7 linked regions of the Macaca mulatta genome follow. The protein of the gene in region 2 interacts with the protein of the main gene of each other region in a pairwise test. Links are inferred from orthologs where the notes say so. Each region holds a gene or a part of one and is shown on either strand. Other genes may lie near its edges. The genes, in order: UTP14A, CEP70, SYTL4, BRMS1, protein BEX2, GPATCH4 and TRIM29.

Region 1 (4,069 bases), on a different chromosome or scaffold from region 2:
CTCCACCACCGGGTTCATGCCAATCTCTTGCCTCAGCCTCCTGAGTAGCTGGGACCACAGGCGCCCGCCACTACACCTGGCTAATTTTTTGTATTTTTAGTAGAGATGGGGTTTCACTGTGTTAGCCAGGATGGTCTCGATCTCCTGACCTTGTGATTTGCCTGCCTTGGCCTCCCAAAGTGTTGAGATTACAGGCGTGAGCCACCACGCCCGGCCAAATCTCTTGTTCTTTTGGTCAGTAGAGAACTGGGGAATTGGAAGAGGTCTGGTGTGCAAGCATTCCAGCTCAAACTAAAAGGGAGCTAATGTCATGTGTCTGTCCTAACTTGCTTCTAGACAAAAAGGGCTTAAAATGGTGTTTCTGTATAAAATATATAGTATGATCTAACATGGAAACCCTGACATATAGTGTAAGTCATAGCCAGTTACAAAGTTAGCTTTTTTTTCTTTGAGACAGAGTCTCGCTCTGTTGCCCAGGAAGGAGTGCAGTGGTGTGATCTCAGCTCACTGCAACCTCCACCTCCTGGAAGTGATTCTCTTGCCCCAGCCACTGGAATAGCTAGGATTACAGGCGAGTGCCACCACACCCAACTAATTTTTGTATTTTTAGTAAAGACGGGGTTTCACCATGTTGGCCAGACTGGTCTTGAACTCCTGGCCTCCAGTCATCCACCCGCCTTGGCCTCCCAAAGTGCTGGGATTACAGGTGTGAGTCACCACACCCGGCCTCCAAGTTAAGTTGGCTTTTCCTACGAAGAACACGACAAGCAGAAAAAAATAGACAAAAAAAAACACCCTCCTTGTTATTAAAATAGATGTGTTGTGTGCCCCCAACCCAAGGGAAAAAAAAAGTGTTTTTTTGTAAGGGAAATAAAGAATTGGAATTCTTATAGCATCTGTTGGAGATCCAGCTTAAAATACATATGCATATTTCAGTCAGATAATTAAATAACGCTCTATAGAAATCCAAACTTGGGAAATCATATCATATGAGGACCATGTGTTTCAGTCTTTTTTTTTTTTTTTTTTTTTTTTTTGAGACGGAGTCTTGCTCTATTGCCCAGACTGGAGTGCAGTGGCGTGATCTTGGCTTACTGCAACCTCCACCTCCTGGGTTCAATAGTAGCTGGGATTATAGGCACACACCACCACACCCAGCTAATTTTTGTATTTTTAGTAGACACAGGGTTTTGCCGTGTTGGCCAGGCTGGTCTTGAACTCCTGACCTCAGGTTATCTCCCTGCCTTGGCCTCCCAAAGTGCTGGGATTACAGGCGTGAGCCACCAGCCGGGCCTGTTTTGGTTGGTTTTATAAATTATACTTATGCAACTTGCGGGTAGTGAGTGTAACTTAGTTTCCAAATCCTTATAGCACTTAATATGATACAGTAACTTATATATGAAACACTAACCATTTGTAATTAATTTGAGAGACCTGAACAAATACATAGAATATTGTCACACCTTTCCATTCCAGGAATGTGCTCTCTACCCTAATTTTGAAGGCAGTTTAGCAATTGTCACCCACCTCATCTTCACTCCCACTCAAGAGGTAGTCTTTTGGCAAATCTACTAGTTCTTCCTGTTGGCTCAAAGCCAGAAGGCTGTTAAAAGAGGCAACAAAGAAATGTGAATGCAATATACCCATGTAACAAACCTGTATATGTATCCCTTAATTATAATAAAAGTTGAAATTTAATAGAGAAACATTGTTATTTGAAGCAATGTCTAATCTATTAAAACAATCTCGTAAACATTGTAACTTCAACACAGAATAGCCCTATCCCTCAGAAGATATATAAAGCAGCATGAACGCCTTTGAAAACTTGTCAAGACGTGAAATTTAGACTGATGTCAGGCATCACCTCCAGGAATGATGCCTGACTCAAAACTGCATGTAAAAGAGCTAACACTTTTCAGTGATTGGCACAACATTTCCTATGACCTATGGGAAGCTGTAAAAATGTCAGACCCTAGAATAATATGGCCAAAGACGCTGTTGCTAGCCCTGGAGGCAAGGCAGTTTCACGATTAATATTTCTAAGCATCCTCCACATGTTTGACTCTTTGATAGGCAGCCTGATCAAAAGTGTCATCTTGATCACTTGTTCCCAGGAATGGAGAAACAGGTCGAAAGCAGCTGAGTAAGCCATTTTCCCTGGGGCCTGCTTAGCAAAGTAGGTGCTTAACTAAGGAGACTGGTACCCACAAATTACAAAATTTACCGTTACTTAACAGCATATATTATTAGTATTTGCAAAGCCAACATTCCTAAACGGACTACATTTAGTTCCGGGGGCGGGGAGGGGAGGCACAAAACATCATAGGAGCCAAAACGTGGCGATGACTCCAGTCAGCAAAGCTTTCGAAGATTCGGGGAGTTTATAACGCCTGCACTGCCTGCGCAGAGGATTAAATCCGGCCGCGGCAGAGGCAGAAAAAGGGGTCACGTGACGAGGAATGTGAAACATAGTAAATGAGCTGGGGAGGCAGAAACAGCATCAGGACCAACAGGGATGCGGCTATACAGCTGAGGAGCGGAGTAAGTGAATGAAATTAAAAGGGCTTTAAAGGCTGGATCGCGGAAAACAGGAACAAGTGGCCAGCTCTTGAGGGGAACCACTGCCATCTGTTAAAAGGGGGCGCCCATTTCCCAAAAGCTGGGGAACCCGGCCCCCAACGAGACCCAGAATCCCCACTCCCCTCGTTGCCCTTCACCTCTCTGCAAGCCGGTTCGCAGTCATTTCAGCAGCCAGCTTTTCTCACATGGACCAAGAACGGAAGCCGAAGGAAAGCAATTTCCGTGCCGGCCGCAAAGCAATTTCTGTTTCCGTCAATCGCTCGCGACGTACACGTCAGTTCCGTTGCGTACAAGGCGTGTGAGAAGCAGGAGCCGTGTAGGGAGGGGCCTGCGTAAAACGGCGAGGCTGGAGATGAAACGGCTGTCAGCGGGTGGGGCTTTCTTTTCTCCACCCACCACGTATTTCTCTGGTGCGCCGGTGTCTGTCCTCCTGGTCCCTGGTTTCCACGCGGCCCAGGGTGGGTTAGCTTAGGGCGAAGGTACTGCGCTGTCAGGGACTGAGCCCGCGCCTTCATTCGTCCCTACATAATCCAGAAGGAAAGACTCCAGCGCCCGTCCTTGTGCGACAGCGTCCTGCAAGCCGGCCACCAGCCAGCTCGGGGGTTTATTGAATGCCCATTAAGTGGCCAGATTGTGCCGGGCCCCGGAGATCCGATGGTGAACAAAACAAGTTTCCTTCCATTTAAGGAAAAATATCTTTCGATCCCTTGTAATTGCAGCTCTGTTCTTCATTTCCTGAGTCAAAATATTTTATCCAAGAATGGGCCGTCAGTAGCTACGCTTCCTCACCTCCTATCAACTTTAAAAAAATTATTTTAAACAACTTTTTTTCTCCCATCAACTTTTAAGAATTTATTTATTTTTGAGACAGAGCCTTGCTGTGTCGCTCAGGCTGGAGTGCAATGGCGTGATCTCGGCTCACTGCAACCTCTGCCTCCCAGGTTCAAGCGATTCTCCTGCCTAAGCCTCCGGAGTAGCTAGGATTACTGGCGCCTGCCACCATGCTCGGCTAATATTTGCATTTTTAGTAGAGATGGCATTTTGCTATGTTGGCAAGGCTGGTCTGGAACTCCTGGCCTCAAGTGATTCGCCCGCCTCGGCCTCGCAAAGTGCTGGGATGACAGGCGTGAGCCACTGGGCCCTGCCTAATATATGTGTGTGTATATATATATATATGATGATTGTAGAAAAATAATAGACAAGAACATTCTTTTCATTCTTTTAATCCATTCCCATTTTTGCTTTTGCCCCATTATTCCACAGAAATTGCTCTGGACAAGATCAGCGACACCCAAAGTTGCTAAATAAAATGGATACCTCTCAGTCTTTGGGTTCCTAGAACTTTGTCTGGTATTTAATAACTGTCTGTTCCCTCCCTCCCTCCCTCCCTCCCTTCCTCCCTTCCTTCCTTCCTTCCTTCCTTCCTTCCTTCCTTCCTTCCTTCCTTCCTTCCTTCCTTCCTTCCTTCCTTCCTTCCTTCCTTCCTTCC
Region 2 (3,500 bases):
TACTCAACTAGGCTGTTGGAGCACAAAATCAGACACAGATAATATGTAAATGAATTGGCACAGGTGTGTTACAATAAAAATAGTTACAAAACCAACAGCCTGCTGAATATAGCCTGCAGACAGCAGTTTGCTGACCCCTGATCTAGATGATGAAGAGAGGGGATTTGGGGTTTTTGGTAAGAGTAGAATAGATTTAACATAACATAGCCATCAGGAAATTTTTCATGTAGAATATGATGTGAGAGGTACTTGTAGAGTTCTGCAAACGGGGTTCTCTGACTAAAGGTGACAAAAGGATTGAGGCCATTGGAGTGGTGGTGTTGAATTTAGTTGTCATGAGTTTGTAATGAAAATCTGGGGTTGAGGAACAAGCGACTTGGAGAAGAATCACTTTTTAGCTTAAAAAGCTTTTCATTAGTTGTCTAGCTGAAGTAAAGTATTTTGGCCTATGCAGATTATCCTTGGGTCAGATATTTGGATTGAATGTCTTATTGAGGGAAGTGGAGGATAGGAAGAAAATATGAGATACATTAATAAATAATATTCTACAAATGAGAAAATTTGCAGCAATAAAAAGAGTCTCCTAAGGAGGGGGTTTTTCAGGATTCATTGACTGAAAGGAGTTTATATTATAAACTCAGTCTCCTTTTTAAGAGTGAGTACTAACTTGAAAGTGAGATTCTGGCAATTTCAGGATAGATTTTGAGATCTACCAATAGGATATAAGTATCATCTAAAGAAGTAGGAGTACTGTAAAAAGAGGATGTAACAATTCATTGACAAGTATTACATTAGTAAAGAAGATGAAAGAGGAGAGAGGGGAAGACAGGCTAAGATTTGGAGGCCTAAGTAGGATAAACAGGAAGCACAAGAGAAGAGCTATAAACCTGTAGAACTGAAGCAGCAAGACCAAAGGAAGAAGACAGGCGGGACATGGGCCTCTTGCAGTGGCAAAAGCTTCTCTGCTTATCCATTTTTTTAAGGCCAGTGTTGTCCAAAGTTTTTTGTTGTTGTTGTTGTTTTTATCATCAGACTATATGCACATGCATAAAATAAACACATTGGGAATAAATAAATCATTTGAACTGAATCAATCCATTGATAACTTACTAGACTGGTGATATGTTTATGTGTAATACTAGAAATCATGCATGTACCCAGTGCACACTAGGCTACAATAGTAATACTTTATGCAACAGTTAAAGCAAAATGTAGTCCTTAAACAATAAAGTTGTACTTAACAGAAAAGTATTTTATACTGCTTCAATTTTTAAATTTAAGATTTAATGAAATTCAAAGTTTATTTCTTTGGTGGCATTACCCATATTTCAAGTGTTAAGCGGTAACCACTAGCTCATGTAGCTGTTGGTTACCATATAGGACATCACAGTGATAGTTAATCAAGATTGCTAAAAATAATCATATGTATTTGCTAGCACTTTGCATTTCACAGAGTCCTTCAGTATCTTTCGTTTGCTTTTTACATCAGTCCTGTAAAGTAGATGTGACAGATACTGTTTTACAGATGAGAAAATAAATTCTGAGAGATTGATTTATTCAAATAATACAACTAGTTAGTGGTGTTATCAAGGCTTGAACCAAGACTATTAAATCTGTTGCTTTTTCCACTTATGATCTGCATTTTTTCATATAGGTTTTTTGGTTACCTAAAAGTACTAGAAGGAAAAAATAGTATGTGAATGCATTTTTTGAAAGAACCTGGATGTTCCACCCATGTTTCGTTTTGTTTATTCGGCAGTGCTTTTTCACCTCTTATAGTCCATAGTTTTTCTAGGCAGTGAGATACAGTGGTGAATAAGACAAAAGTTCTGGTCCTCATGGATCATATATTCTAAATAAAAAGAGAGTAAATGGATATTGTATGTCCTATAATAATAGATAGTAGTAGTGTTCTAATACCATTCTCTATGAGAACAAGTAGGAAATTTGAATTAATTTTAATTCATGTTTAGATGATTAAACCCTCATTATGTTGGTTTAATTAGATTTTTTTCTTTGAAGATAGATTTTTCATAAGTATACTGCATGCATATTTTCATAGGCAATATAAAGAAGATGAAAGTCAGTCAGAAGAAGAAAATGACTACAGAAGTCTGGATGCCTCACCAACTTATAAAGGCCTTTTAATGGTATGGGGACTGCATAACCAATAAATACTTTTTAATAAAGTAAGTAATCTAAGAAAGTTAATTATTTTTCTATGAAATGTGTTGCAGTCATTACAGAATCAACTCAAGGAGTCAAACTCTCAGATTGATGCACTTTTAAGTGAAAAGCTGAACCTCCAAAAAGATTTGGAAACCAGGTGAGAGAAACTTAAGTTTTTTTTGTTTTGTTTTTTTTCTGAGACAGGGTTTCACTCTGTCACCCAGGCCAAGTGCAGTGGTGTGATCATGTCTCACTGCAGCCTTGACCTCTAGTGCTCAAGACTAATCAAGTCCCTTAGCTGGGACTATAGGTGCGAGCCACCACACCCAGCTAATTTTTAAAATTATTTATTTTTAATTGAGACAGAGTCTCACTCTGTCCCCCAAGCTGGAGTGCAGTGGCGCGATCTCGACTCACTGCAACATCTGCCTCCCAGGTTCAAGTGACTCTCCTGCCTCAGCCTCCCGAGTAGCTGGGATTACAGGTGCGCGCCACGACGGCTGGCTATTTTTTGTATTTTTAGTAGAGATGAGGTTTCGCCATGTTGGTCAGGCTGGTCTTGAACTTCTGACCTCAAGTGATCCTTTCTCCTTGGCCTCCCAAAGTGCTGGGATTACAGGCATGAGCCACCACGCTCGGCCTCTAATTTTTTAATTTTTTGTTTGGTAGAGATGGGGTCTCCCTGTGTTGCCTAGGCTGATCTTGAACTCCTAGGCTCAGTGCCGGAATTCCCAAAGTACTGGAATTACAGGCATGAGCCACTGCATCCCGGTCAATTTTTCTTCATCCTTTGAAAAGTAAACATATACTGGAATTTGGAATATTAAATGCACCATTCTATCTCCTTTGCTCTAAAGCTAATCATGAGTACATAATATTCTTATTCTCACTTTAGTCAGTTCTCTCCCACGATAACTTATGAAAGGAACAAGAACACACGGGTAGGCAAGGGAAATGAGAAAATAGGAGTCCACATGGAAGAAGTTAAAACTAGCTAAGAACTTCAAATAAGCTGGGCACAGTGGCTTTCGCCTGTAATCTCAGCACTTTGGGAGGCAGAGGCAGGCGGATTGCTTGAGGCAGGAATTCGAGACCAGAGTGGGCAACATGGCAAAACCCCTTCTCTACAAAAAATATAAAAATTAGCCGGGTGTGGTGGTCTCTGACTGTAGTCCCAGCTACTCAGGAGACTGAGGTGGAAGGATCACTTGACCCCAGGAAGGCTGCAGTGAGCCATGATCATGTCACTGTACTCCAGCCTGGGTGACAGAGCGAGACCCTGTTTAAAAAAAAAAAAAAAAAACTTAAAATAGATTCAGTCTTTTTTTTTT
Region 3 (4,184 bases), on a different chromosome or scaffold from region 2:
AAGTCTACCGGTGAATACAACAGACAGCAATCCCTGCCCACAGGGTGTTTATGTTATGGTGGGTGAGGGAGTGGCAGGGCAGACAATAAGCGAGAAAAATGTAATAAGGTAGGGAAAGGGCATATGGAACGTTCAGAGAAGGGATTACACGTTTAAATAGGGTGATCAGGGCAAACTTGTAGCCGTGGTATTTCAAGCGCCTCAGGAAGGTGTCTTCTGTACTCTCAACCCCACCATCACTACACCTCAGCACCTTGAAGGAATGGCATGGTACATCCGGTTACTGGCACAAATATTTGCCAATATCTTATATTTAAGACAAAGGGAGCTCCAAGATCCAGACCTTGCCCTTAGAGAACTTACAGCCTTCCAGGTGGAAAAACAACTAAGCAGTGTTAAGGGCTGTACTGAGGTGTAAACAAAGTGCTTTAGGACACAGGATAACTGGCAATTCTGCTTGGGGGAAGAAGTATGTGTTCAGTAAGGCCGTTCCAAAGAAGGTGACTTTAGAACTCAATCTTGAGGGATGGATAGGAATTAATGTCAGGGGAATGGGCATGGGGGAGGAAAGTTAGCTTTTTAGGAAGAAAAAAAGGAACAGTTTGAGCAAGGTCCCAGAGCTGGGAATAGGGAGGACATTTTCTTCCTATCCCTGCCTGTGGTACTCCATCCATCCCATGACAAAACTAGCACACGATCACCCTCAAGCTCTCTGGTATGGCTGTCAGGAAATCCCTATCACTTATTTCTCCCCTAGCCAGCAGGAGAGGAAGAAATTGAGTCAGGCGCACATCCCTGGAATCCAGGGTTACCCTCCTCTAACTTCAAGACAATTACCACAGAGCTGAGAACCCGGGAGATTTCACTCATCTAGGTACACTCAGGGATGTGTACTTATAGTGGTAATGTGGCAACTGGCCCATGTCAGAAATGAAGTGGGTAAGACATCAGTAAGGTAAGTAGTCCATAGTCTCGGCAGTGAATCTAAGGGGGAATCAAGGAGCAAAACATATACTTGGAAGGAAATTTTTTAATCACTTAGTCCTCATTCATGAGCTATTCAGTGCTCCCAACATCCAAGACAATAGAGGTGGTGTGACAGGATAGGAACACAAGCTCTGCCTCCGAGATTGTGAGGGCAAGGCACTTACCCTCTAAGTCTCTTTTTCATCATAATATGGTTATAACTGTAGCACCTATTGTATAGAGTTACTGGGAGGATTGCATTTTTATGTAAAGAACTTATCACAGTGTCTGGCTCAATGGAGCCTAACAACCAGAGCCTAACAAGCTCAGAGAGCCGGAATGCTACATATACTCACAGATCAGTTACCCCAGAACAGGCCTCCGAGCTCCATTTCACTGCTCTGACCAAGAGTGAGACACCTGAAATCGTGTTAGCAGAAATGTTCATCCCCTGCCCAGACAGAGCCTCACAAGCCAAGTTGGTGTGCTTTTCTACTAGGGTGCTAAAAACCAAACCACCAAAAATGCGGAAAACTTCATCAAGGCCACATCTCTGCATTGAGCATTGTTCCCACAGCGACAAAAGTCTTAAGTCATTAATACCGCAATATTAATAGATTTATGAGAGGTGGGGGTGGGGAGCTTAAAGAGCAGAAAAGAAGCCAGTTAAATATAGGAGGTCCAGGATGTACAGAAGACTCATTTTTTGCCACAAATATACAAGGTCTAGGGTCAACCCTGCCAAGAGCAGTACTCTGGAATTTTACGTCCTCTAGTCCTGAAGAAGAAGGGTACTGGGGGAAGAAAAGCTTGGTTAATTAGAAACTCACCACTTTTCAAGCCACCAGAATTCTAACCAAATGATTTCACCACCCCAAATCCCATCTCAATGTTAAGGGTTGGAGGAACACCTTTTTCTGCCCCATTACAAACCATCACAGGAGACAGAAGCATTCTGTGCCCCTTCTGAGATCTCGGGGACCCTCCTCCAGTACCAGGTCTCTCACAGCCTGCTTGAAGAGCGGCAAGATAAACAGCTCCACAGCACGTAGCCAGGTCCCCAGCCCCAAGCGCAGAGGGAGCCCACTGAGGCAGGACTCCGGCCGACCAGCCTCCAGCCTTTACCTGTGGCTGACTGGCCAACGCCAGAGAAGCCGACGCCGAGATGTCGGAGGTCCGAAGAGAGTGCGGGTTAGCGACCCCGCTCGACGGCCAAGCGCTGCGAGAGAAACCCACGAAAAGGTGACTGCACGCCTTGGAGGGCGCAGTTCCCGCTAGGAGCTCGGCCCCGCCCCCGCCCCCAGGGCCAGCTCTCGGGAGGGGCACCAGCTCGGGCTGGCGGGAAAAGCCCGGGCACTCCGCGCGAGGGGAGCCGGAGAGGAGAGGGGAGGCGGCTCCCAGAGGGGCACAGCCCGCATTAGTGCTAGGTGGGTCAGGGAAGGGGCCAGAAGAAGCCCTAGAGAAAGAAAAGTGGCCGGGAGGGACCGCCCAAGCAGACGGGAGTCCAAGCCTGGGGGGTGCGGTCGGGAGAGGCGGACGGGGAGAGGGAAGACGAGGTCAGCTAGGGAGAAGGAAAAACTAGGGGAGCAGAGAGCAGGTAGGGAAGACGCACGACCCCGATATGGGGGTGGGGGCGCTTCAGCAGCGAAAAGGAGCTGGGGGTCCAGAAGGAGCCCCCAACCGAGGGCGAGGGGGCGGCCGCTGGCTGCTGACCTACCTGTCACCTGCAACAGGTGCCTCCAGAGAGCTAGACGTCCCAGTGCCGGTTTCGAGGGAGGGTCTCTGGCTCCGGGAAGATCGCCACCCAGCTCCGGCGGCCGGCCCTTCTCACCCTCCCGGGAGGCGGAAAAAGCTGCAACTTTCCCTGGAGCTGGGAGGAGCTGGACTCTTAAAGGGGCCGCACAGCGCCCCGGGCTCCTTAGTAGGGGGCCGCTCAGCCCGAAAGGGAGCTCTGGGACCCAAAGCCTTGAGACACAAGAGGAATGAATGTCCTTCCAGGTTAGGAGTGGGAGCCTAGGGACCGAGGATAGGGGTCTAACACTAGACGTGCCTCCCCACCCCCTTACTTCCATCTGTTGGTCGTTCCCTTAGATGGTGAAATCACCTGCCCCTTTCATTCTGCTGAGTCAAAAGTTGTCAAATTGTCTCACACTTCTAAGGAGATAAAAGAATATGAACTATCTAATTTGGGTAAGTAAAATATGATACCATTCTGATCCTTTAACTTATGGCCTTTTATGGCAAATTGTCTGTCTAAAATAGAAACGTTTTGGGCAAAGGAGTAGACTAAATTCACACATACACACTCAAGAACACAACTGGTTAAAATATTCAACTCACTAGTAATCAAAGAAAAGCAAATTAGAACAATAATGAGATTATTTGGCAAAGAGTTTTGTTTTTTATTTTTTAAATAACACTTAATGATGACAAAGTAGCCACCAAACAAGCTCTCATAATTGCTGATAGGAGCATATGTTGGTTAAAAACCCTTTTAGAAAGCATGTGAGCAGTATATATCAATAGACTTTAAAATGTTTATACCTCCCCAGTAATTGCAGATTCCCCTCCCTCTCTTTCCCATCCCTCTCCCCCTCATTTCACATCAGCAATTAAACATGCTCAAGTATCTACCATCTTAAAACAATATCCTCCCTACACAGGAGGTCCCTCTTCAGGTCCTCTTTATGGGCAAATGTATTGAAAACATACTTTACAGGTGAAATTGCAATTTTTATTCCCTTACGTCTCATTCATTTCTCAGCTCTCAGCAGTCTGGCTTCCTTCCCCCACTGAAACTTCTCAATGAGATAAAAAACCAATGACCCTCAGTGTCGATAAATCCACAAATAAGTAAGGTATTTTTGGTCCTTATTTTGCTTGACTTCTCCCCTACATTTAACACTGTTAACCATTTCCTCCTCCTTGAAATGTTCTATGGCATCTATGACATTATACTCTTGCTTTTCCTCCTACTCCTTTGCCCTCTCCTCAGTGACCTTTGTAGGCCACTCTTCTGCTATCTGACCTCTGAAAGTCAGACATTCTCAGGGCTAGGATACATATACTCCCTCCCCCAAATAATCTTTTTCACTCACTTGGCTTTAATTATCGTATATATGGTCACAACTCTAATTCTATAACTCTACCCAGACCGCTTTATTGAGTTCTGTTTTCTTGACATCTCCACTTGAATGTCTTGCAGACACCTCAAATTC
Region 4 (2,679 bases), on a different chromosome or scaffold from region 2:
TGACAGCTGGATTTGCCTGGACATGGTCACATGACACCAAGCAACCACAAGTGCATCTAGTGCGACTGTCCTCCATGTCCCCTCCAAACCTCTCCCCCAGGTCTGGAGGTGACCCTAACATCCTGCCACCTTTTAGGCCACCTTGGGTGAAAGGATACCAGAAACCAGAGGTGCCTTCTTCCTCTTGCTGGGCGGCAGGGAGTCCCAAGACCTGGAGCTGCCTCTGGCGTGCAGTTTGTCGTCCCACCATTCTGCCCCCAGACCCAGAGTTAGAACTGGGGTGCTGGCCCACAGGACACTCTCTCTTCTGTAGCCTCTGCCCCCACCATGGGCCAGCCTGGCCTCATATCCCCTGCCCCATCACAACCCTGGGCTTGGGGTAGGAAGCCCCTTAGGGCTGTTCAGGTCCTGCCCGCACAGCTGCGCAACCCCGGGAAGAGGCCGCTGCACTTCTGTGAGCCTCATCTGTTTAGTGGACAGTGGGATGATGACAATTCCTGCCACCCCAGGACTCCACATGAACACAGGTACTATGAACGTGGAGGGGACTAGAGCTATTGCATGGGACTGCATGTCACACTGATACCTGTTTTGGAAAGAGCAGGGGCAGAAGAGGGCAGGGAGACCCACTCTGCCCGAGCCCCTACTGTGTGCCAGGCCCTTTCCAGGCCTGGTTTCCTTCAGTCCTCACACTGACCCCAAGAGGCAGGTCCTCTGACTGTCCCCTTGACTTCAGGACATCTGAAGTCTAGAAAGGGGTGGGCGTTGACAGAGCCAAGCCCAGGGCCGGGGTGCCCGGGCTCTCGCGCTCACCAGAGCTGAGGTCCAGGCTCTGGCGGTCCTCCTCCAGCCTCTGGATCCGCTCCTGCAGCTCCCCCTGCAGTGTGTCATAGAGCAGCAGCTTCTCACTCTGGAAGAGGGGGCAATAGCTCAGCAGGACGGATGGGGAGAGCTCACTTCAGGCCTTGCGCCCCGCCTTGTCCCCAGTGTGCCCAATCAGGCCCACCTCCAGGTGCTGTTTGGCTCCCTGCAGCTCACATTCGTACTTATTCCTGATCACATCCAGACAGAACCCCTTGTAGATCCCTGCAGAGAAAGGAAGGAGGGGCCCTGCTTGGCTGGGGAGCCTGGTGCCCACACAGGAGGGCTGAAAGCAAAGGGTGAGGCCAGGGAGGAACAAGAGAGGAAGGGGACAGGGTGCCATGGGTTCTGGGAGGGGAAAAAGGCACAGAACCACCCACAGACCTGCCACCTGAATGCGAATCTTGAGGCTCTGCTGCAGCCCCCCAAGGGGCTCCGTGTATTCAGGGGCTCTCTCAGCCCCCACTTCCTCCAGCCGCAACCGCAGCTGACTCAGTCGTTCCCTGAACAACCTGGGTGGTAAAAAAGGCAGCCGTGCACCCATTTGCTCACCTATTGCTCTTGGGCAAACACGTACCCAGCACCCATTCCACAGCAAGCCCTGTGTTAGGCGTGCACTTCCTGGGCACCAACCACGCCTGCCCAGTACCAGGCCCACCACCTCCTCATCCCAGCTCCTCGCAGACCCAGCCCAAGGTGTCCCCATGCTCACTTCTCCTTTAGCTCCGAGAACTGCTTTTCTAGGTCCAGCATCTCACTGACACACTCGCTGCGGCGCCGCTCATAGTCCTCATCGTCCATCTCTGGGACAAGACGCCAGTAAGGGCTAGCTCTGGGGAGGGGTGGTGGGTACCCACATATGTGCATGTGCGTCCTTCATGTGTGTGTGTGTGCATGCGTCCTTGTGTGAAGGGGCTGTGTGTTTGTATGCATGCTTGTGTGTAGGGGCTGTGTGTGTGTGTGTGTGTGCTTGTGTGTAGGGGCTGTGTGTGCGCACGTGCTTGTGTGTAGGGGCTGTGTGTGTGCATGCGTGCTCGTGTGTAGGGGCTGTGTGTGCATGTGTGCTCGTGTGTAGGGGCTGTGTGTGCATGTGTGCTCGTGTGTAGGGGCTGTGTGTGCATGTGTGCTCGTGTGTAGGGGCTGTGTGTGCATGTGTGCTCGTGTGTAGGGGCTGTGTGTGCATGTGTGCTCGTGTGTAGGGGCTGTGTGTGTGTATGCGTGCTTGTGTGTAGGGGCTGTGTGTGTGTGCACGTGTGCTCGTGTGTAGGGGCTGTGTGTGTGCATGTGTGCTCGTGTGTAGGGGCTATGTGTGTGTGTGTGCATGCTCGTGTGAAGGGGCTGTGTGCGTGTGTGCTCGTGTGTAGAGGCTGTGTGTGTGTGTGGGTGCTCGTGTGTAGAGGCTGTGTGTGTGCGCATGCGTGCTTGTGTGAAGGGGCTGTGTGTGTGTGCGTGCTTGTGTGTAGAGGCTCTGTGTGTGTGCGTGCTTGTGTGTAGAGGCTCTGTATGTGTGCATGCTTGTGTGTAGAAGCTGTGTGTGTGCGTGCGTGCTTGTGTGTAGGGGCTGTGTGTGCATGTGCATGTGCTTGTGTGTAGGGGCTGTGTGTGCGTGTGCATGTGCTTGTGTGCAGGGGCTGTGTGTAGGTGCTTGTGTGAAGGGGCTGTGTGTGCATGTGCATGCTTGTGTGTAGAAGCTGTGTGTGTGTGCTTGTGGCAGAGGCTGTGTGTGAGTATGCTTGTGTCTAGGGGCTGTATGTGCATGTATGTGCATGCTTGTGCGTGGGGGCTGTGTGTGTGTGTGTGTTTGTGTAGGGGCTCACC
Region 5 (3,493 bases), on a different chromosome or scaffold from region 2:
CCACTGGACTTGTGAATATAGGGAAGACCTCACCTTGGAGATTTCCTCTAATAACAGAAGGGAATATCTAAAGGGTTGGGTCATGCATGTCAGTAAGAACAAGAACTTGGGAGAAAGCTTACAACCTCATTACCTTTTCTGGTCCATACAATAAGCCTGGGAGGTGATTGTCTTCATCTTACTGATAAATATTATGATCTTCAAAGAGATGTGTCTCTCAAACATTTCTAAAAAGAGATCCCAGAAGCAAGTTAAAATTGAGATTCTGTCACAAGTGTTTATTAAGTGCTCACATTGCTTTTATAAGGTGGTCACATTGCTTTTTATAAGTAATACGTGTTCCATTTTAAAAAATAAGAAATTATGGATAAGCAAGAATAAACTCCCTCTTAATTCTACCACAAAGATAAACACGATTTTCTATATATGTGTATATATGTGTACATATATGACTGTTTATGTTCATATTTAAGATTTAAAGTAAAAAAGAATGCAGAGAATGGTTTTTTAAACTATTTTATTAACTTCACAATATATAATGAGCATCTTTCCATGCAGTAGGTAAAACTCCCCTGCTGACAGAAACTTACAAACTGGGTCAAAACAACATTCAGTTTGAAGCTGGTAATAGGAGACCCACAAGAAATAGGTAACATCAAAAGGTTTACGACAAAGGTACACCACAAATGTGTAAGTTTAGGAAGCTGGGGTCTCCCTATTAACTTCAGGGAAACCATCAGGATTCAGGGCATAAGGCAAAACTCATCGTGATGGTCATGGTGAGGGGGGTCAGTGCTGACTGCCCGCAGACTATGACTCAACTGTTTTTCCCTCAGCTTTTCCATCAGCTGTCTCACCTCCTCCCCAATCCTTTCCATATTCTCCTCTCTCATCCTTGCCTGTGGCTCTCCAAGCCTATGCATTATGTCCCATCTATACTGCAGGGTGGGCTGCCTAACACGGAACCGCCTACGATTTCCTCTAGGCACACAGTATTCATCAACATTCAAAGGGAGGGCCAAGGGCTCCCCTTTATTAGCAACTTGCTCCTTTTCATCTTTTTCATCATTTTCCTGGTTGACATTTTCCACGTTGAGATTGTTTAACGCTCGTTCCTCTTTGGACTCCATTACTCCTATGAGACAGAGAGAAAACGGACTCAATTCTTGGTGAACTGATCAGCACCGAGGACAGAGGCCCGACTACCCACCTTTCAAAATTCAGAGCCCTGGATTTCAAAGGCCTTTTTTAAATTTCATTTTTTTTTTCCCACCAGAGAGGCCCCGTGTACCCTCGGGGTTGGGGGGGGGCAGTCCGCGCCCCTCTCTCCCGCAAAGCCCACCATCTTCTCTGCAGATCCATCTCCAGGCCTCTGCAGGCGCCAAAATGGAGGACGAAGAAGGGGTGGGGGTGGGGGATTGCGAAGCGTAGCAGTGAAGGCACCGACTGGGGTCCCAGACTGGGCTTTCGTCATGTTCTGACCCCCGCCCCGCCACCGTCCCTCGCACCGACCTGGGCCTATCCTTGCAGTCTCCTCCTCCTCCCGATTCTCGACGTGAGGTGCGTCGCCTCGACACTTAGCCTCGCAGACCTGCAGACGGCCGGGGTGGGAAGAGTGGAGGCTGCTGCAGCGGAACACTAGCGAGGACCCGCCGCCACCCGGCCCCTTCCCCGCGCCGGGCCCGGGCCCTCCTCGCCGCCCTCTCCCCGCGCCTCAGCCGCCCCGCCCCCCAAGCTGACCACCATTTTCTGCATCAAGAAGGGCGGAGCAGGGATCTCAGAAAAGATTGCGCTGGTGGCGGAGGCAGGTGCTTCAGAAGGGCCGTAGCCTCAGGACCGCAGCCTCAGGACCGCCGGCTCCCGCGGGGCCAGGCACTCCTCCGCTCACTAAAGGCTCGCGGTCCCGCGGCGGGGCCCCGGGGCTGCATCGTGCACCGGCTGCGTCTCAGCGCGGCTCCTCGGGGGTGGGGCATCCGCAGGCCGGGGCCGCTCCCCCACACCAACCCCAGGGACCCCCTCCGTTTCCCTTACCTGCTCCCCCTCCGCTTCCTGCTTTCGGGGCCGCACCTGGCCCGCACGTCCTCAGGGCCACCGGGAACAGGTACCACAGCCGAGAAAGGAGCGAGCGACGGCGGCTCCGACGCCAGAGAGAGGCAAGACTCAGTGTTGGCCGATCACGTGGGGCTGTTGTCATCGCCAGCGGCTCCGCCCCCGTCCCACGCTCCCTCCTGCAGCCTGGAGTCAGGTGGGACTTTCGGGCCCGCCCCCATCCTCACCGTGAGTCCCTTTTAACATCCCCAGCCTGGGCTCTGCCACTCTCCCTTCTCTTGTGTATTCTTGAGACTTCCCTTGCCTGCCCAGGAAGGACGGAAGGCATCTTCTCAGGGAGCTGTTGGCCATTCCCACTTCTCTGGGGACTTGCCTCTCTCTGCCCTTGGCTGCCAGGATTCACCTCCTTCTGCCTGTTAATTAATTTTTGACAAAGATGTCAAAGTAATTCGATATGGAAAGTATAGTCTTTTAAACAAATGGTGCTGAAATAACAGAATTCTTAAAGGAAAAACAGGAGCCTTGCCTTTTATCTATACTATACACAAATTAATTCAAAATGGTCATAAACCTAAATGTAAAAACTCAAATTAGAAAACTTCTAGAATAAAACATAGAGAAAAACTTTATAATCTTTGAGAAAACAATCCCTTAGGACAGAAAAAGAACAGATCACAAAAAAAAAAATGAGAAATTGGATTTATCAAAATTAAAAACTACCATTTAAACCACATGGTTAAGAAAATGAAGTGAGAAGCTGGGAGTAAATATTCACAATATGTGTATCTGACAGTGGGTTTGAATTCAGAGCATATATAAAGAACTTCGAAAACTCAAGAAGGCAAATAATAGATTTGAATAAACATTTCACAAAACTACATACACAAATTACCAACGAGCTCATGAAAAGATGCTCAACCTCATTAACTATCAGGGAAATGTAAAATAAAGCCAGAATGAAAAACCACTGCACACCCATTATAATTGCTGAACTTAAAATGTCTGACAGTCCCAAGCACTTTTGAAAATAGTAACAATAGAAACTCTCATTGATTGTTGGTGAGGGGTTCAACCACTCCAAGACTTGGTGGCAGTTTCTTAAAAAGTTAAACTTAGGCTTACCATATGTCCTAGAAATTCCACTTTTTGGAATTTTCCCAACAGATTTTAAAACATATTTTCTCAAAAATATTGGCATAGGAAAGTTCATAGAAATTTCCTTTATGATAGCCCCAAAGTTGATAAAAATCTAAATGTCCAACAAGTGAACTGATAAACAAATTGTGATGTATTCATACATTTTAAAGCTGCTAAGCAATAAAAAAGTGACAAGCTACTGATACAAACAGTAACATAGATGAATCTTAAAAAAATGAAAAAAAAATTGTATCTATAAAGACACCAGCCACAATTGTTTTCTGCATGATTGCATTTATATAAGTTC
Region 6 (4,077 bases), on a different chromosome or scaffold from region 2:
CATATAGTCCCCTGCCTTTGTGTGAGCCTGAACTATCTCTTCCTTCATAATTCTTTTGGAAGAGAGGCCATGTCTCTTCTTCTCTCCCCTAGTCCTCCCAACCACAACTTCTTCATTATCCACTGTCAAATTTCTTCCTTTTTTCCCTTTTCTGGGAAAGTCAGAAATTTTCTTCTGCAAATTTCCCTTTAAACTAGCTTTTCCTCCTTTAAATAAAGGAGGGCGGTAATCCAGGATGATGCCTTTCCCCTGGGCAGAAGGTAGGCAGGGAGTTGGGGGATGTAAGAGACCCCATGGGGATCACCTTGAGTCCATCCATGCTTTAACAACTGCTCCTCAGCAAACTTCATCCCACGACTCTTGACCTCTGGGGTGACATTCATGGTGAGAAAAAGGTCTCTATCCTCAGACTCTCACCAGAGAAGAAGAGGTGATATCATCCTTTTAAGAAGAAAGGAGAAAGTGCCCAAACAGCCATCAGTTCCATCCTGACTGCTTGTTAAGAATTCTCCGCTAGTTGGGTGCAGTGGCACACACCTGTAGCCACAGCTACATGGGAGGCTGAGGCAGGATTGCTTGAGTCCAGCCTGGGCAGTATAGCAAGAACCCCCTCTTATAAAAAGAATAAAGCAGCCAGGTGCAGTGGTTCACATTTGTAATCCCAGAACTTTGGAAGGCCAAGGTAGGAGGATCACTTGAGCCCAGGAGTTCCAGACCAGAGTGGGCAACATAGTGAAACCATCTCTAGAAAAAAATAAAAAATTAAAATGAAAGAAAAAAGAATTCTCTTTCCTGAGCCCTGGGGCGAGAGAGAGGAAGGAGGTGGCCTGGTCTTTGGGGAGCTCCCTATCTGGCTACAGAAAGACCAGCATATAGAGAAGTCAAGGATGAATGGTGTCAATTCTGATACCTAAATTTATGGTGTGCTCACCACATGCCAGGATGTGCTGAGACTTTACAAAGATTATTTCATTTAATCTTCCCAGCCCATTCAGGGAAATATTAGCCTATTTTACAAATGAGTAAAGTAAGGCCTAAAGAGGTTAAGGAACTTCAAGGTCACACAGGTTAACATGTAGAATTCAAGCCCAGGCAGCTTGTCTGCAGAATCTATACTCTACCACTACATAGTATCTCTCAAAATATATTACCTTGTAAAAACAAAGCTAATGAGGTGCTTATTAACCTAAGTCATAAGATAATGGTACTTGGTAGAGACCAGATCCTGTACTTATGCTTCAGCATTTACACTGTCCTCTTGGTGTGGGGGCTACACACTTCTCACACACCACTGCAGTATTTCAGTCTGGCTGGAGTTTCCCTTTTGAAAGTGTCCAACTTAGGAAGGGCACTCTTATTGAGCACTTAATGCATAACAGGTGGATTACACATATTGATATACTGTCATATTAACTCAGTCGATTTTTTTTTTTTTTTTTTTTTGAGACAGGGTTGCTCTGTCACCCAGGCTGGATGGAGTGGAGTGCAGTGGCATGATCATGGCTCATTGCAGCCTCAAACTCCCAGGCTCAAGCAATCCTCCCACCTCAGCCTCCCGAGTAGCTGGGACCACAGGCACATGCCACCACGCCTGGCTAATTTTTGTATTTTTTTTTTTTTTTTTTTGTACAGACAGGGTTTTGCCATGTTTCCCAGGCTGGTCTCTAATTCTTGGGCTCATGCAATCTGCCCACCTCTGCTTTCCAAAATGCTGGGATTACAGGCATGAGCCACTGTCTGGGCTTAACTCATTTAATCTTGATAGTCCTGTGAGATAGATATTATTCTTATTTTGCAAAAGAGGAAAACAAGGCCTGGGTTTCTTGCCTAAGGTAACATGGCAAATGATGGAGCTGGAATTACATGTTGGAGATGGAATGAGCCCGAGTCGCCTGACTCCAAAGTGGTCCTCTGTCTTTTTTTTTTTTTTTGAGACAGAGTTTCGCTCTTGTTGCCCAGGCTGGAGTGCAATGGCACAATCTTGGCTCACTGCAACCTCCGCCTCCCAGCCTCAAGCGATTCTCCTGCCTCAGCCTCCCGAGTAGCTGGGACTACAAGGATCATGCCACCACGCCCGGCTAATTTTTGTATTTTTAGTAGAGACGGGGTTTCACCATACTGGCCAGGCTGGTCTCGAACTCCTGACCACTCGCCTCGACCTCCCAAAGTGCTGGGATTACAGGCGTGAGCCAAGGCGCCCGGCCAAGGACTGATGTTCTTCATCTCTACACTCTTCAGTCTCTTATAGCTCTTTGTGCTTTCTCCCGTAAGACCACAGCCTAAGCCTTGTCGCAGTAATTGAAAACTACATGCCCTGGAAGTTAAGAGATCGGCTTTATTCCGCAACTCCAGAGCACGTAACGCGGCGCCAGAATTCTAGAACGTATTCAGTCGTTATTTGTTGAACTGAATGGCATAGTTAGGAATGGCTTTACCGGATTTTCAATGGATAACTGGACAGAAGCTGTGCGCCCCAGTCTTTCTGAAACCTGTGATCACACTTTGGGCACTCTCCCCTCTACAGTCAATCTGCGTTTTCAGAAGTGGCCCCAGGTGCACTAGTCTTACAGCTGTCCTCAAGAGCCGGCTGCCCTTTCCCTAGGCTTCCTTCCTCCTGAGGTCTAAATTCCAGCCCTCCTACCGCAGTGCCACTTGGGTAAAAATACTCCGCTCCTCTCACGTTTGCTACTAAGCTCGGGCTCCGACTACCACCGTTCGGGGGAAGGGAGCCCCTTACCGTCAATGAGGGGTCCTCTCCTCGGAAACATGTGCCAAACCTGACTTGTGCGCCGCCATCTTTCCGGAAATGCCGTTTTGTTCCTTCTAGGCTGTCGAAACCATAGAGACGTCCGCTGGAACCAAAATCGCGGTCCTCCCAGGAGAAACCATTGCGGAGGACAATTTGCCGGTATGGTTGCCATAGAAACTGGGACCTGAAGTGTGCCCATTTTCGGAGGTTCCGAGGCTGTTCCACTTGCCTCATCCCTGCATTCCTTGAGCAGCCAAGGGACTTCAGTACTAACTGGCCCTCTCAGGATGCCAAGAACGCTATGTGTCCTACACTGAGCTAGTCCCAGGCACAAATACGAGGAAGAAAAACTCTAGGGAAGCATTGAGAGTAGCCTGAGAAATTCGTGGAGGCAGAATGGGTGATAGCTGTGTCCTGATTTTGCAGGGTTGAATACTCATGAATACTCAGCCTTCACAGGAACAGTTATTTGTAAAAGCCTAGAGACCAGACATCTCAGTATGTTCATCAAGCACTTTATTTATTATTATTATATATATATTTTAAATTTTTTATTTTTTCTGAGACAGGGTCTCATTCTGTCGCCCAGACTTGAGTGCAGTGGTGCGATCTCGGCTCACTGCAACCTCCGCCTCCTGGGCTCAAGTGATCCTCCCATCTCAGCCTCGTGAGTAGCTGGGACCACAGACATGCACAACCACGCCTGGATAATTTTTGTATGTTTTGTAGAGAAGGGGCCTTGCCATGTTGTCCAGGCTGGTCTCCAATTTCTGGCCTCAAGTGATACGCACGCCTCGGTTTCCCAAAGTGTTGGGATTACAGGCGTAAGCCACCATGACCGGCCTCATCAAACACTTTTTGACTCACCACTGTGTGCCAGAACTTGTCCCTTTGGTACTGGGGGATACAAGGGTGCTTAAGACACAGGTCTTGATTTCGGGGAACACCTAGTCTAGCCTGGGAAAATTGGGACTTTGGGTGGGATCAGATGGAGGACATGGCCAGTGGAACTTGGAGAAAGATACAGGATGGGTAAGACGCGGTGGCTCATGCCTGTAATCCCAGCACTTTAGGAGGCCAAGACAGGCAGATAGCTTGAGCCCAGAAGTTCAAGACCAGCCTGGGCAACATGGCGAGGCACCGACTGTACTAAAAATACCAAAAAAAAAAAAAAAAAAAAGCCAGGCATGATGGTGCACAGCTGTGGGTCCCAGAGGCTAAGGTGGGAGGATCCCTTCAGCCAGCGGTGGGGGATGGGGAGGGCGAAGGTTGCAGTGAGCCAGAAAAAAAAAAAAAAAAAAAAAAAAAAAAAGATGCAGGATCCCAGA
Region 7 (3,500 bases), on a different chromosome or scaffold from region 2:
GGCAGCTCCCGGGCTCTCATCTGGCCCCTGTATCTATGAGCTCAGCAGTTTGCCTGAGTTGCACAGCTTATAAGCAGCAGTCAGGATTCCAAACCAGGTGCTGCCGGACTCCCAAACCCAAATTCACGTTTTTTCTCCCCGGCTCTGTGGCCTCTCCCATTTCACTAGCCAGAGACTAGGGCCTAGAGAGAGGCAGGAATTTGTCAGTGTGGCCGCCACCCAGGGTTAGGACGGCAAGCCCGAGAGGCCCAGAGCAGGTGCGCTCTCTGAGCTTGGTTACAAAGATGCTAGTCTAAGGCGGGGCCGCCCTGACTCCCTCCGCCTCAGCCCAGACAGACCAGAAAGGAGCTCTGGTTCACAGCACAGTGAAGGCACTCTCAGTGTCAGCCATCAGCCTGCAGGGAGGCCTGGGAAGACACAGGCCATGACCTGGAAGCTGAGGTCCTCAAGAAACAAGCAGGGTCTGTCCTGGGCCAGATCTCTGTCCAGTGAGAGGCTGTGGTCACTGGACAGCGAGGTGAGGGAGGAACTAGCAGCTCAGGGAAGAGACCCAAGCAGGGTTTGGGAGGTGTGGGGCAGCTGTGGAGGAAAGCAGGGGCCAGGGTGGGCAAGCTCACCTTTCAGGGAGAAGGAGGAGCTGCCTTGGACGACGGGCAGGTCATTGTCAGAGCTCTGAATGCTGGAGGAGTACTCCCAGACCCGGGAGGTGTAGTTACCTGGCAGGGCAAAGAAGGGCTGTCAGGCCCCCACAGCTGGGAGGGGGAGAGGAGGCAGGACCAGGACACAGCCAGGTCTGTGACTCTCCAGCCGCCGGCCACAACTTAACCCAGGATGCCACTTGTGATCCCAGTGATACCTCACCCCCATCCTTCTGCCACCATAGCTACCTTTCTAAAATATAAAGCGTAGTCCGGTCCCTGCCCTACCTAAAGGCCACTGTCCTCAGAATAAGGCGCAACGTCCCAAGCGCAGCCCATGGCTCTGTCGTGAGTTGCTCTCCCCAATCCCCGCCACACACCCACCATCTCCCACTTCTTGGCTTTGCCTCTATCCTCCCTCCACCACTGGACATTCAAACCAGGCTAAGTCTCAGTGTCTGAGACACTCCAGCTTCTCTCCTGCCCCAGGCTATGTACCCAGCCCCTGTCCTCTGCCTAGGACACTTCTCCTGCTCCCCACCCTCGGCGATTCAAGGGTGGGGTCTTCAAGTGTCAGCTTACATGGCACCTCCCCAATGTCTGCATGTGCCTCAGCCCCATCCCCACATCATCCTGCACCCCCTACCCTCTGGGTGGCAACTATATGTTCAATTGTCTGTCTCCCGCAGTGAGCTCACATGAACTAGGAATGTGCCTGTCTGGCCCCAACATCACACCTGGTGCCTGGCACAGAGCCTGGTTCCTGGAAGGTGTTCATTGTATGGTTGATGGACAGAATGCATGAACCAATGAACAAATAAATACAAACACATCCTAAAACTTGGGGATGAGACAGTTGATAGTTGCCAAGTTGAATAGGCTAGCACACGCCTATGTGCAGGCATGTCCCATAGTCCAAAGGAGAAGGCAATGGGAAGGGGGTGGGAGGAGCTGCTAGGGCACTCAGAGGGCACTGGAGTGGGGGGCTCAGAGCCCCCGTGGGTGATGCACACTTCTCCAGCACCCCCATCTGCCAGGCTTGAAACATCAGTGACCTCCTTAGTCAAGCTCACCCCTTGGCTGCTTGTGGGGAGGGCTGGGGGCTGACTTTCGGGCTCAGGGGTCAGAGATGGCTGGGGCTGGCCACCTGCCCCTGTGCAAAGCCCTCCCACAGGGATCCCAGGCAGCTTCTGTAGCAAGGCCTCAGTGAGCACGTCTAGCCAGGGCTCTGCGAGGCCAGACACCTTGCCCTTCTGTTCACTCATGCCTTTAGTCTCTCTCTCAACAACTGCTTCCTGACCCCCTCCTACTTTTGAGCTCTGGGCCTGTAGCAGCGAACAGGACAGACACAGCCCTGTCCTCAAGGTGCCCATGGTCTACTGCATATGTGGAGGAGGGGGTGCCACTGGTCACGGCTGTGAATCCAATCCTGGATGTAGAGGCCCAGGCATTGCTGTGGTGCCCCTGACCCTCCAGTCTCCATGGCTCTTGTCCTCACAGAAGAGTCCTCCAGTGCTATGTCTGGGGCGGGGGCTGACCCAGTCCCCTCCTTCCCCGTGCATGGCTGGCACGTGACCAGGAGCCCCCAGGACAGAACCAAGGGCTCCCAGAACCAGGTCTCATTGAGTGGATGGCCCTGCCCCGGAGCAAATGGTCCCCTCGGAGCACTGGGCAGAAGGAGACCCTGAACTTAGCAGCTCCCCCTAGGGAAGCCACGTCCCCACCCCCATTTCATCTCATCTAGGTCTTAAGGTGCTGCTCACTCGCCTCACCTCCTGGAGCTCCAGGGCCAGTCCCATTTCCTGCCATGCCTTCCTTTCCAGTCACAGCCAAGCTAACAACTAACCACTGTACGACTTTTCACTGCAGAAGTATGCAAATCAGTAGATTCTCTGTGGGCCCTCGTGCCCTCATACTGGCTGGGGGGCTTCCCCACACTTAAGCCCAAGGTGGCTGCTCAGCCCCAGTTTTCCCCAAATCCTTCCTCAGGAATCAGAAGAGCACACGGACTCAAGGATCTCCACGGATGCCGAGATTCCTGGCTATTTTTCCTCCAGCCTAACTGTGTGCCCCATGCATGTACACACACACACACACACACACACACACTTTAAGCTCGGTAGGTAGGACCCCTCTCCACCCGTGTCTGGGCCCCCTACCCATCCCAGCTTCCCACATTCATCTCACACTGGGGTCTGAACCCCGTGCCCCCTGGCCCCACCTCTATACCCCTCCTGCCTGCAAGTCCCCATGAACTCTGTGCACCCTCAAGCTGAGCCACCACCTACCTTTGGTGCCATAGAGATTGTTGAAATTCTTCTGGGTGTTCTCCTTGGTGAAGCGGCCGGGAGATGAAGGCTGGTATGATGTCCGGGCCCCACCTGTGAAGCAGATGAAGGGGGCTGTCATTGCAGAAAACGGTCTCATGCAGGACACCTTGTCCCCAAAAAGTTGCCCAAGTGCCCATCACAGGACCTGGATTCCACCACTGAGAGAGGTCCTTCGGGTCTGACATAAGGCAATCAACTAATTTATCACCAAAATTGGCATGCTTTTGAAGAGTAGAAGGGCTCTGTTAGTAACCATGAGGAGAGCATCAGCATAAACCTGGAGAGGCCATGGCAACCACAGGGGCAGAAGCGGTGGGAGATCAGAGCCTCACTTCACAAGTGCTTTCCTTTCCGCACACCTGGGCTCTCACAACAGCCTTGTGAGGAAGCAGTGGGGACTGATAACCCCACTGATACCCAGCTGAAAACAATGAGCTCCCCATGTGTGTTCTGGTCCTCTATTACCTCAGTCCCTCCCCACCTGACCCTCTCATAACACCACACCCCCAGTTCTGGCCCTGCCAGTCCTTCC

Evidence for each region.
Region 1: the proteins of CEP70 (region 2) and UTP14A interact in a two-hybrid assay, tested with the Homo sapiens proteins (2 studies listed by BioGRID and IntAct). The two-hybrid records come from large-scale screens. The link is inferred for Macaca mulatta from reciprocal best matches to the Homo sapiens genes CEP70 and UTP14A.
Region 3: the proteins of CEP70 (region 2) and SYTL4 interact in binary tests that used the Homo sapiens proteins (3 or more experiments, as listed by UniProt). The two-hybrid records come from large-scale screens. The link is inferred for Macaca mulatta from reciprocal best matches to the Homo sapiens genes CEP70 and SYTL4.
Region 4: the proteins of CEP70 (region 2) and BRMS1 interact in binary tests that used the Homo sapiens proteins (3 or more experiments, as listed by UniProt). The two-hybrid records come from large-scale screens. The link is inferred for Macaca mulatta from reciprocal best matches to the Homo sapiens genes CEP70 and BRMS1.
Region 5: the proteins of CEP70 (region 2) and protein BEX2 interact in binary tests that used the Homo sapiens proteins (3 or more experiments, as listed by UniProt). The two-hybrid records come from large-scale screens. The link is inferred for Macaca mulatta from reciprocal best matches to the Homo sapiens genes CEP70 and BEX2.
Region 6: the proteins of CEP70 (region 2) and GPATCH4 interact in binary tests that used the Homo sapiens proteins (3 or more experiments, as listed by UniProt). The two-hybrid records come from large-scale screens. The link is inferred for Macaca mulatta from reciprocal best matches to the Homo sapiens genes CEP70 and GPATCH4.
Region 7: the proteins of CEP70 (region 2) and TRIM29 interact in binary tests that used the Homo sapiens proteins (3 or more experiments, as listed by UniProt). The two-hybrid records come from large-scale screens. The link is inferred for Macaca mulatta from reciprocal best matches to the Homo sapiens genes CEP70 and TRIM29.

The regions. Positions count from the first base shown.
Region 1 is NC_133426.1:136,359,835-136,363,903, reverse strand, and holds the start of UTP14A (U3 small nucleolar RNA-associated protein 14 homolog A), read right to left. Parts: upstream 2,801-4,069; 5' UTR 2,744-2,800; coding exon 2,718-2,743; intron 1,604-2,717; coding exon 1,528-1,603; intron 1-1,527. UniProt on the Homo sapiens protein: May be required for ribosome biogenesis.
Region 2 is NC_133407.1:41,523,804-41,527,303, reverse strand, and holds part of CEP70 (centrosomal protein of 70 kDa), read left to right. Parts: intron 1-2,062; coding exon 2,063-2,150; intron 2,151-2,237; coding exon 2,238-2,326; intron 2,327-3,500.
Region 3 is NC_133426.1:107,583,290-107,587,473, forward strand, and holds the start of SYTL4 (synaptotagmin-like protein 4), read right to left. Parts: upstream 2,801-4,184; 5' UTR 2,684-2,800; intron 2,186-2,683; exon of another isoform or gene 2,092-2,185; intron 1-2,091. UniProt on the Homo sapiens protein: Modulates exocytosis of dense-core granules and secretion of hormones in the pancreas and the pituitary. Interacts with vesicles containing negatively charged phospholipids in a Ca(2+)-independent manner.
Region 4 is NC_133419.1:8,083,120-8,085,798, reverse strand, and holds part of BRMS1 (breast cancer metastasis-suppressor 1), read right to left. Parts: coding exon 2,679-2,679; intron 1,665-2,678; coding exon 1,574-1,664; intron 1,374-1,573; coding exon 1,246-1,373; intron 1,087-1,245; coding exon 1,007-1,086; intron 911-1,006; coding exon 814-910; intron 252-813; coding exon 159-251; intron 1-158. UniProt on the Homo sapiens protein: Transcriptional repressor. Down-regulates transcription activation by NF-kappa-B by promoting the deacetylation of RELA at 'Lys-310'. Promotes HDAC1 binding to promoter regions.
Region 5 is NC_133426.1:109,951,033-109,954,525, forward strand, and holds protein BEX2, read right to left. Parts: upstream 2,163-3,493; 5' UTR 1,756-2,162; coding exon 1,741-1,755; intron 1,592-1,740; coding exon 1,513-1,591; intron 1,136-1,512; coding exon 744-1,135; 3' UTR 501-743; downstream 1-500. UniProt on the Homo sapiens protein: Regulator of mitochondrial apoptosis and G1 cell cycle in breast cancer.
Region 6 is NC_133406.1:110,323,317-110,327,393, reverse strand, and holds the start of GPATCH4 (G patch domain-containing protein 4), read right to left. Parts: upstream 2,801-4,077; 5' UTR 2,769-2,800; coding exon 2,738-2,768; intron 442-2,737; exon of another isoform or gene 384-441; coding exon of another isoform or gene 368-383; coding exon 305-367; intron 1-304.
Region 7 is NC_133419.1:120,798,998-120,802,497, forward strand, and holds part of TRIM29 (tripartite motif-containing protein 29), read right to left. Parts: intron 3,020-3,500; coding exon 2,927-3,019; intron 717-2,926; coding exon 618-716; intron 1-617.